Linked DNA regions of Oryzias latipes. The protein of the gene in region 2 purifies or fractionates together with the protein of the main gene of each other region. This does not show direct contact. Links are inferred from orthologs where the notes say so. Each region holds a gene or a part of one and is shown on either strand. Other genes may lie near its edges.

The links.
Region 1: the proteins of csgalnact2 (region 2) and slc30a1 purify together in Homo sapiens (co-immunoprecipitation; 3 studies listed by BioGRID and IntAct, counting the BioPlex papers as one, with this or other methods). This does not show direct contact. The link is inferred for Oryzias latipes from reciprocal best matches to the Homo sapiens genes CSGALNACT2 and SLC30A1.

What each region holds. Positions count from the first base shown.
Region 1 is NC_019882.2:6,335,839-6,340,059, reverse strand, and holds the start of slc30a1 (zinc transporter 1), read right to left. Parts: upstream 2,878-4,221; 5' UTR 2,522-2,877; coding exon 1,954-2,521; intron 989-1,953; coding exon 129-988; 3' UTR 1-128. Other genes in the region: serine/threonine-protein kinase Nek2, read right to left, coding at 3,589-3,794, 4,059-4,126. UniProt on the Homo sapiens protein: Zinc ion:proton antiporter that could function at the plasma membrane mediating zinc efflux from cells against its electrochemical gradient protecting them from intracellular zinc accumulation and toxicity.
Region 2 is NC_019873.2:29,899,088-29,903,461, forward strand, and holds the start of csgalnact2 (chondroitin sulfate N-acetylgalactosaminyltransferase 2), read right to left. Parts: upstream 2,885-4,374; 5' UTR 2,770-2,884; intron 1,505-2,769; exon of another isoform or gene 1,433-1,504; 5' UTR 1,291-1,432; coding exon 639-1,290; intron 570-638; coding exon 353-569; intron 284-352; coding exon 182-283; intron 117-181; coding exon 1-116. UniProt on the Homo sapiens protein: Transfers 1,4-N-acetylgalactosamine (GalNAc) from UDP-GalNAc to the non-reducing end of glucuronic acid (GlcUA). Required for addition of the first GalNAc to the core tetrasaccharide linker and for elongation of chondroitin chains.

The sequences.
Region 1 (4,221 bases), on a different chromosome or scaffold from region 2:
AAAAAGTCATAAAAAAGTAAAAGTCATTTTAAGGGAAAAAGGGTGATTAAACCCTCTAAAAATGAGAGTAATGCTTAAGCACAAAGTGGTAGTTTTCCTGCTGCCTCTCTTTATGTGAAATCCCGGACTCACACAGAGGACTCCACCTCTCTGGTGACAGCAACCTCCGCCTCAGTCCGAGGGCCCCCCTGAATGCTGGGAACCTGCTCCGAAGCCTCGCTGATCACCTCTAGGCCAGAGGCAGCAGCTGCTTTAGAGTCACTGGCAGACTTCTGTCCGCAGCACAGCTTAGGAGCGCACTGAGTCCGGCAGGAAAGCTCGCACTGGGAGCCTTGAGTTTCGGAGTTAAAGGTGACGAACTCAGGCTGGATGGTGGTGGCGTGGATGCCCTCGTCGTGGAAGAAGTCCTTGATGCGTTTGGCCACATCCATGTAGGACGTGGGGTCGTGGCATTTGATGTGCGCCGTGGCAATGATTCTGCTTCCTGCCAGCTGCCAGATGTGCAGGTCGTGGATGGCCAGGACGCCGTCCAGGCTGAGCAGGCGCTCGTTGAGGCGGTGCATGTTGATCTGCTTGGGGACGGTCTGCAGCAGGATGAGAGCGGACTCTTTGAGCAGAGGGTAGGTGGTGTAGAGCAATATGCCCACCATGATGATGCACAGCGTGGGATCCAGGTAGAGCACCCAACAGGGCCCGGCTTTTGTGTCCGTGTCCTGCAGATCCACTAGAGTGTGGTTGATGTGGCGGTGGTCTGTCTTGTGGCTGTTGATGCACGGGTTCGTACAGCTTGGACCTTCGCAGGGCTTCCACACGAAAGTGAAGATGACAGAGTTCACCACCACGATGACGGAGCCCAGGGCGTCCCCCAGGACGTGCAGGAAGACGCCGCGCATGTTGAGCTGCGACGACGCATCGGCCTCGGATTCCATCTCCTCGAAGTGGGTGTTGCCGTTCATCTGCACCTCTGTGCTGTCTTTACAGCTGACCTCTGCAGAAAACAACCGTAGAAGAAGGTTTAGACTTCTGTAGTGTCACACTACATAATCACATAGACTTTGACCTCAAGATACCAGCAGCGAGTTTAAAGAAGATTGTTGTTCTATGCAACATCTGCGTTAGTCCACTGTGATATGTTCAATCACATCAACCAACATGTTTTCCCTTTTGAACAAAAGCAGCTTTTCTGCAGAGGGCTCCTCAACCTTGTGACTGATTCTTTAGCACAAGAGCTCGGGGCCATGCGCAAACCAGTGAAACACAGAAAGCAAACTTCGCATGTGGCATCTGAGTCTTCCTAATTCAGATTTAGTAACAAAAAGGCAGAGCTTAGGAAGCCGTTTCTCTCAGGGCACCTCCAGGTCGTTCATCAGGGACTAATGATGTGTCCGGGGCTGTCGAGTCCCAGAGTCTCTGATGTATGACCCACTAATAGCAATCGGTGTACAGGGGTGGAAGAAATGAAGGTTCATTTATTGAAACTGGCAGGGCTTAACAAAAGAGGAGGGTGTTCTTTACTTGATTTTAACCCTTCTTTGAATGAAGAAGGGAGGAGATAATCTTATTTTGAAATCCTTATGCACAGAAAAGATGTGTTCATAGAAACACATGAAGGCGAGGCTGTCATCAGCATCACTGAAGGGGGTCTTTTTTGAACACAAAATAAAGGCTACAAATCCCAGGTTGTTTTGATAGCTTTGGTAAAGGAGTACTTCTCACAAAGCAAGAAACGTCTTGCTTGTGTCGCAACACTTTTCAGGGATGTAGTGACTCAACAAATTATATGCATTTGAAAACAAATAAATGTCAAGACTGAAGCTGACAAGAACACAATACAGATTAGTCAGGCAGTTGTTTGAAAAGCTGATGATTTAAGGTGGAATCTGAGCTGTTTACAGTAAGATTAGGCTCAGTTAACGCCACCATGTCAAATATAATGCACGTTTCCATACATACCCATGCTTGGTTTGGTGTTGCTGGTGTGATTCCCCACCAGGTAGTTGGTCTCTTCTCCAGCAGATCCGTTCCCGGCCTTCTGGGACTTGCCATGTTTCCCCTTTTTGCCCTTACCCCCGTGAGAGTGTCCCCCGTGCGAGTGGCCGTGGCCTCCCCCGGCGTGCCCATGAAACAAGCAGAGTCCCAGCAGGTTGATCAGTAGCCCCGCCGCGCCGACCCCGGCGACCACCATCGGGCTGTCGATCTCATGGGGTTCGGTGAAACGCTCCACCGCCTCCAGCACGATGGTGAAGCACAGCGCCGTGAGGAAGACGGCGTTGACCAGAGCCCCCATCACCTCCGCCCGGATCCAGCCGAAGGTGTTCTTGTTGGTGGCCTGAGTCTTCTCGGCGAAGCGCACGGCCACCAAAGCCACGATCAGCGCGATCACGTCGGACAACATGTGAAAGGAGTCCGACAGCATCGACAGAGACGAAGTGATGCGACTGACCACCACCTCCACCAGGAAGAAGCCAAAAGTCAGTGAAAGCATACAGAGCAGGCGCGCTCGGTTGGGTTCGCAAGCCATTTTATAAATTTACTAGTATTTTTAATTCAAGTTTTAGTCTAGAAAATGTCTAAGATGTACGACAGACACCGGGACGACGGTAAGCTAGCTCCCTAACCTACGTTTAAGCTAACTGCTCCAAACAGACAATAAAATCCGAGCTACTGCGTCTTCCCGGTCTGTTTTTATCTACCACCCGCCACCATCACTCATCTACACCCAACGAACACCGCAAACATTTTTCCACAAAGCCCTAAACCTGGTAACCGTGTGAATACACCGTGTTCTTTTCCAGGATATTCCAGACTCATCTGCCGACGATTTCCAGTTTGCAGACGGTTGAAACTTTGCACCCGAGCCGGGCAAAGTTTTCACACGGAACACGAAGGGCAAGACCCGCCCATCACCGTTCCCATTGGTGAGTGGAAAACTAGAACCCATGTGATTGGTCTATTTCACCAATCACGCAAGTAGGAGGCGTGACTTAGCAGGACAACCAGGGTTGCTACGCACGCTGTCCACAACTGAAATCCCGCGACAACTCATTTCCTTTTTTTTTTTTTTTGGTCAGGCACGCTTCACTACAACTACCCTGGCTTACTCCTTCATTTGGATGGACTCACATTTGTTTTTATTAGAAACTGATGACCTCTCGTGGAGAGCAGACGTTAAATTGTCATTGGACTATGAGATTTACTGTTTCTCTTTTAACTCGTTTATGTTGATTGCTTCAAAGCAACATTTAAAATCATTTATTTACTCTTTGAATTCGTCTGTTCATAATAAATAAAAAACCCATTTGTGACATTTTTGTTTATTAATTTTCAACAGTGGTTCATAAAATCTTTTTTTTTAATGAAAGGGTTGTTAAAACAGCAATAATGTGCACACTATTTTAACACTTTCAACAGCTGCCATTGACATTTACACAATCTATAAATCATTTAAAATATAGTTGGACAACAAAGAGAGCAACAACAAAACTTGAAATACACAAGATAAATTAGCTTCACTAAAATGCCAAACAATTATTAAATAAAAACATAAAATCCAGTTGTAATTCAGTCATGAAGAACATCAGGATGCGCTCAGCGTATGCCGAGCATCTGCCTGCTCTTGAATTGGCACATTTGCTCCATCTCGCTGAGTTTTTGGGCGCGTAGCTTTGCAGCCTGCAGTCTCAATTTCATCAAGTCCTGAGACGTTGCACTCTGGCGACCCTCTGGCTGCTCATTCTCTATGTTTTCACCAGCAAAGTGGACCTTCTTCTTCCCAGGAGACAAAATCTCCGCATCTAAAATCAAACAGCAGGGATCTGATTAACACGACTTGAAAGCGCTTTTTAATAATCAGGCAGATTTCTTTTGTCAAGAATTTGGTTTGAGCTGAGAATGGCTTTAAAACTTGTTTATTGAATAAAAGTTCATTGTTAGATTACAAAAAAAAGATACTTTATTTACTTGATATAAACACAATAAATATTTCATTCATTCATAAATTCATAGCCCAGCTGTATCTAAGTTCAGTAAGTCCAGAGGTCTTTGTTGGATTCCCCTACCTATGTCTTCGAGAAAGATCAGGTCCTTCTGCTGCTGCAGCTTGTAATTTCTCAGTAAACTCTCTGCTCTAAAACAGAACATAAAAAGTAAGAATTGACTCAAGGATTTTACACGATAATTCAAAAACCAGCAGTTGTTACATTATGCAACAGACAAAAAGAG
Region 2 (4,374 bases):
AGAAGAACATCAACACGTCGCCGCCCGTCCAAGCGTGAGCGCCGACGTCCAGACCTCGGCCTCTGGAGAACTCCTCTTCCAGCGGGACCAGCGTGTAATTGGAGAAGCTCTCCTCTCTGTGCCAGAACGCAAACGTCACGACCGACGCCAGGAAACGCTTCGCAGCTGGAAAAAGACCAACCTGGACATTTTCTCCAAAGATGACGTGACGTCCTGGAGGCCTTCCTGCCCAAAGTACACCACGGTGAGATGTACCCGCCTGTCCTGCTGCACACACACCTCCCTGAAAGACAGGCGGCGTCTCATCAGCACATCACCAGACCGCTGGCTGTGGGCGGGGCTCCGTCCTCACCTGAAGTTATGTAGGAACTGAGAGAACGTGTCGACTCTGCCCGCCAGCGGCACGATGATGTTGATGATGACTCCCGACGTCTCCACAGACGTGCTCCTGACCTTCATGATCGGGCCGAACGGCCTGAAGAGGGTCACGTGCCGGAAGCTGCTGGAGTCCTCTTTGGCGAAGAAGAGTTCGTAAAGCGTCCCTTTGTCTCGCTCCGTTCTGTAGAGTCCTGCCGGAGCAAACCAGCCAATCAGTAACAAGCCAGGAGAGAAGCCCCGCCCCCGTCTGACAGCTTTACCTTCAGTGAAGTGAGCGTCTGTGTAGGTCTGCCTCTGCATGGGGGCGTCGTCTTCCACCCCGTCCTCTTCGTCGGGGTTGTTGATGATGTCCAGCGCGGCCTCGATGACCTCCACCAGCTCGTCCCGCCGATCCTTGCGGACCGGCTTCTCCTCTGGGTGCCGCGTCAGCCCCATCTCCAGCTGGTACACCTTGGAGGAGCTGAAGCTCTCGAAGGGCACCAGAGCGTACTCGCTGGGCAGACGCGCCCCCACGTTGACCTCCGCCTTGTCGATCTGGGAGTGCAGGTACTCCAGCAGGTCCCCCGGCTCCTGGTCCTTATTCTCTCCGAGGGCCTGAACTCCCGGGGGCTCCTTCTTGTCCTGCAGAAGTTTTAATTTGTCGCTCATCTCCTGAAGCTCCTGCTTCAGCTGAGCGATCTGCCGTTTGAGGCTGGAGGCCCGGCTCAGGTGGCGCTCCTCCTGCTCCTGCAACAGAGCCTGGTAGTACTCCTTCCCATAGTTCCCTCCGTCCGGGCCGGGCAGAACCAGGCTCACGTCTGCAGGCGGCGTGCACTCCAGCATGTAGGCAAACAGCAGCAGCACCAGCAACAGCAGGAGGCCCAACAAGAGCCAGCGGACCCGGCCCTGAAACGGCAACCCGCGCCGGGCCATGGCGTCCTCATCAGACTAGAGCGGCCAGGACTTCATCCCCGTGTCCTCCGCTCACATCCTCCCAAGGCGCCTCCAGGAGAGACATGCAAATGCATGGAGGTCATCTTCAGCTGAAGATCATCTGTCCTTCCATGGGGGGCTCCTGTGAGAATCCAGGACGCAGACGAAACAGCCAATCAGACAAAGGAAGCAGGTCTGAAATCAGTGCTCCTGACTGAAAGATGAGAATGAAACAGAAGAACTGAAGCGTTTTGACAAACAACCGGATTCTAACAGAAATTCACACGAATTCAACGTCCAACCATTTTCAATTATTATTTTAGTGATCAAATAAACGACAGGAGTGATCAGCTCCACCTGCAGAGCTAGCGCCGCGGCTCACGAGCTGCTACGAGATGGTCATGCTAACTTCCGGTATACCTGTCTACCTTACAAAATAAGAGAAGACCGTTTTTTTATATGCTCTCATATTGAGAAACTCACTGTTATTACGGCTAAAAATTCACACGCCATTTTGGAAACAGGTGAACCTGAACTTAGTTACTGTTAGGATTACGCTTAAACCACCAAAGAACATTTCACGCACCTGGGCGCGTGACAGATAACGGGACTCAACTTCAAATACGTGCGAACAACAACATGAGCCTTCATGTAAAAACTCAGTTTGAACGAGAATGAACGAATAAATACGAACAAACGGAGCTTCATGGCAGAGAGGCTGATCGTAAAGTTTAACAGCTTTGGGAATAAAAATAAATCAAACGATGTCATCAGGAATCTAAACTAGTTTAAACAAAAATAAATTCAGCAAAGTGTTGAATAAATCACCACATCGAGAAACAAAACAAAGAGAAGTCTTTTAATGAAGTCTGTCTAAAGATTTATAACTTTCCCCTTTAGTGGTTTTGTGTTTAAAGGTCTCCCAGCTTCAGTTCTGGGCTCAGAAACCGTCACCGTCCTCTGAGCCACAGGCGCGTAAATCAACGTCAAAGGTTCGGTTCCGGTGAAACAGCCGATCCGGATCATCACCGTTAGTCTCGCTGATTTATTAGACAGAAAAATTAAACAACTAAACCGAAATCATGTTTGCACCACGTCAAGCTCTTTATTAAATTGTGCAGAGCAGCTATAGCTTTAAAGTTCAATAGGTTTTCAAATAGCTCACGGATTGAATAGCGTGACATTTGCTGAGCATAAAAATAATTATAATCACAATATTATCTCCAGTATATAGAAGGATAGTTCACTAAACACAAATTCCAGAGGGTTTATTTTCTTCTTTAAGTGAAAAATTAGCGATAAACCATCAGAAACCACAGCAGGAAGTGTGAAATTATTGTGAAAAACCGCGACCGGAAACACCGAACAATTCAAAGCTAGCTTAGCTATCTACGGAGATTTGCTATGTGTTTAGCATGTTTTGATAGTCAAAAACAGCATTTTTATGAACTAGAGTTGAATAAAAAATAAATGACTCACTTGGTTGTTTTATCTTTCATCTCTTCCTCGCCTTAAAGCCGCGTGTTTGCTGGGGAAGCAGCTGCTGCCTGTCCCGCTACAAAATGCCACGGAGCACAGAAAGAAGCTGGTCGGAGTCAATTTCCGGTCCTCAACTGGCCAATGGGTGCTTCGCTGACGCCTTACGTCATCAGACATGCTGAGGCTCACAACAAAAACATTCCTTTTTGCAAATGTTTTATCTTTATTACTATATAATTATTGCATTTTATGCTAATTTAATTTAGTTCATTTTTTTAACTGTTGGATGTTTTTGGTTTTAGTTGCATCTCGAGGATTCATTAAAATGCTAAGCACACTATAAATTAAAAATTATATATAAATGTACGTAATTACTTTACATTTTCCCATATTTCTGAAATATAAAATAAATCTAGATTTGAATGACTTACAGTCTAACTACAGTTAGACCGACTCTGAACTGGACCTTTAATGCTTCCAGATTTAATCACTAACAGAAATCATGTTAAATTACTGACTTTCAATAAGTAAAGCAGTAAATGTTTCCACAAACTTCCATGATCAGCCATCAGATGTGACTGGAACACACAGAACCTCATGGGAACTGCTGACCTCGGCTTCATCACAGAAGTTTCAGAAATGTAAGAATGTCATTTTTTATAAAATGTTGTATATTGTCAGAGTACAACATGGAACACAAAGTATCTGATGAAAAGCTCATAAATACAAATGTTTAAATCTTACTGCTCGAGTCCTTTTTCCTCTTTGTCACAACAACAAACATTTGTTTAAGCCTGAAGGAAATGAAAAAATTTTGTTTGTGGATTTAAAATATTTTTGAAACTTTAGAACACCTAATATCACAATGATAGTTCTAGTACAAACTTACTTTGAAGTAAGTCTAAAATCTTGATTTCACCAAATGTAATAAACATCAAAGAATTTGAATCAATTTTGTTCTATTTTTGAACCAAACTTTGAAGTTCTAGACTTGATTTTATCTGTTTTTTTCACAAACGTTTCTGCATGTGTCATAGTTTAGTGAGATGAGAAATAAAACACAGAGAGACTTTTTAACGAGCCGATGGTGCCACAGATATCTTTATGTAAACGTTGAAAGGACAAGGTTCAAATCTGAATGTTTATTAATAAGTGAAACACAATCAAAAAACAGAACAGCAGTGACAGAGTTTGGCTTACACAAGCATGACAGTGATTGGAAACTTGGACAAAGGAGCTGAAAACATCAAACTCACGGTCTCACATCCTTTAAACAGAGCAGCTTTATTAGATTAAAGTTTGAATGTAAAAAAAACAACAGCAAACATACACATAAATACCAGAGCAAAACTAAGAAGATAGTTCCTAAAACATGTTGGAGCTTCTTTTGTTTGGCAGCTTGGAAACATCTTGTTGGAGAAACATTGTGGACATTTCCAGGAACCCCTACAGTAGAACCTTTCCACGTTCAGAAGCAGTCCCGACTCAGTCGCAGCTGTCTACCGCCTGTGATGGTGCAGTGTCCCCGTTCAGTCCTGGACTGGAACTGGTCTTCGTGCTGCACTCTGACAGCAGGAGGTTTTTGTAGAAGCATCACAGGCACTT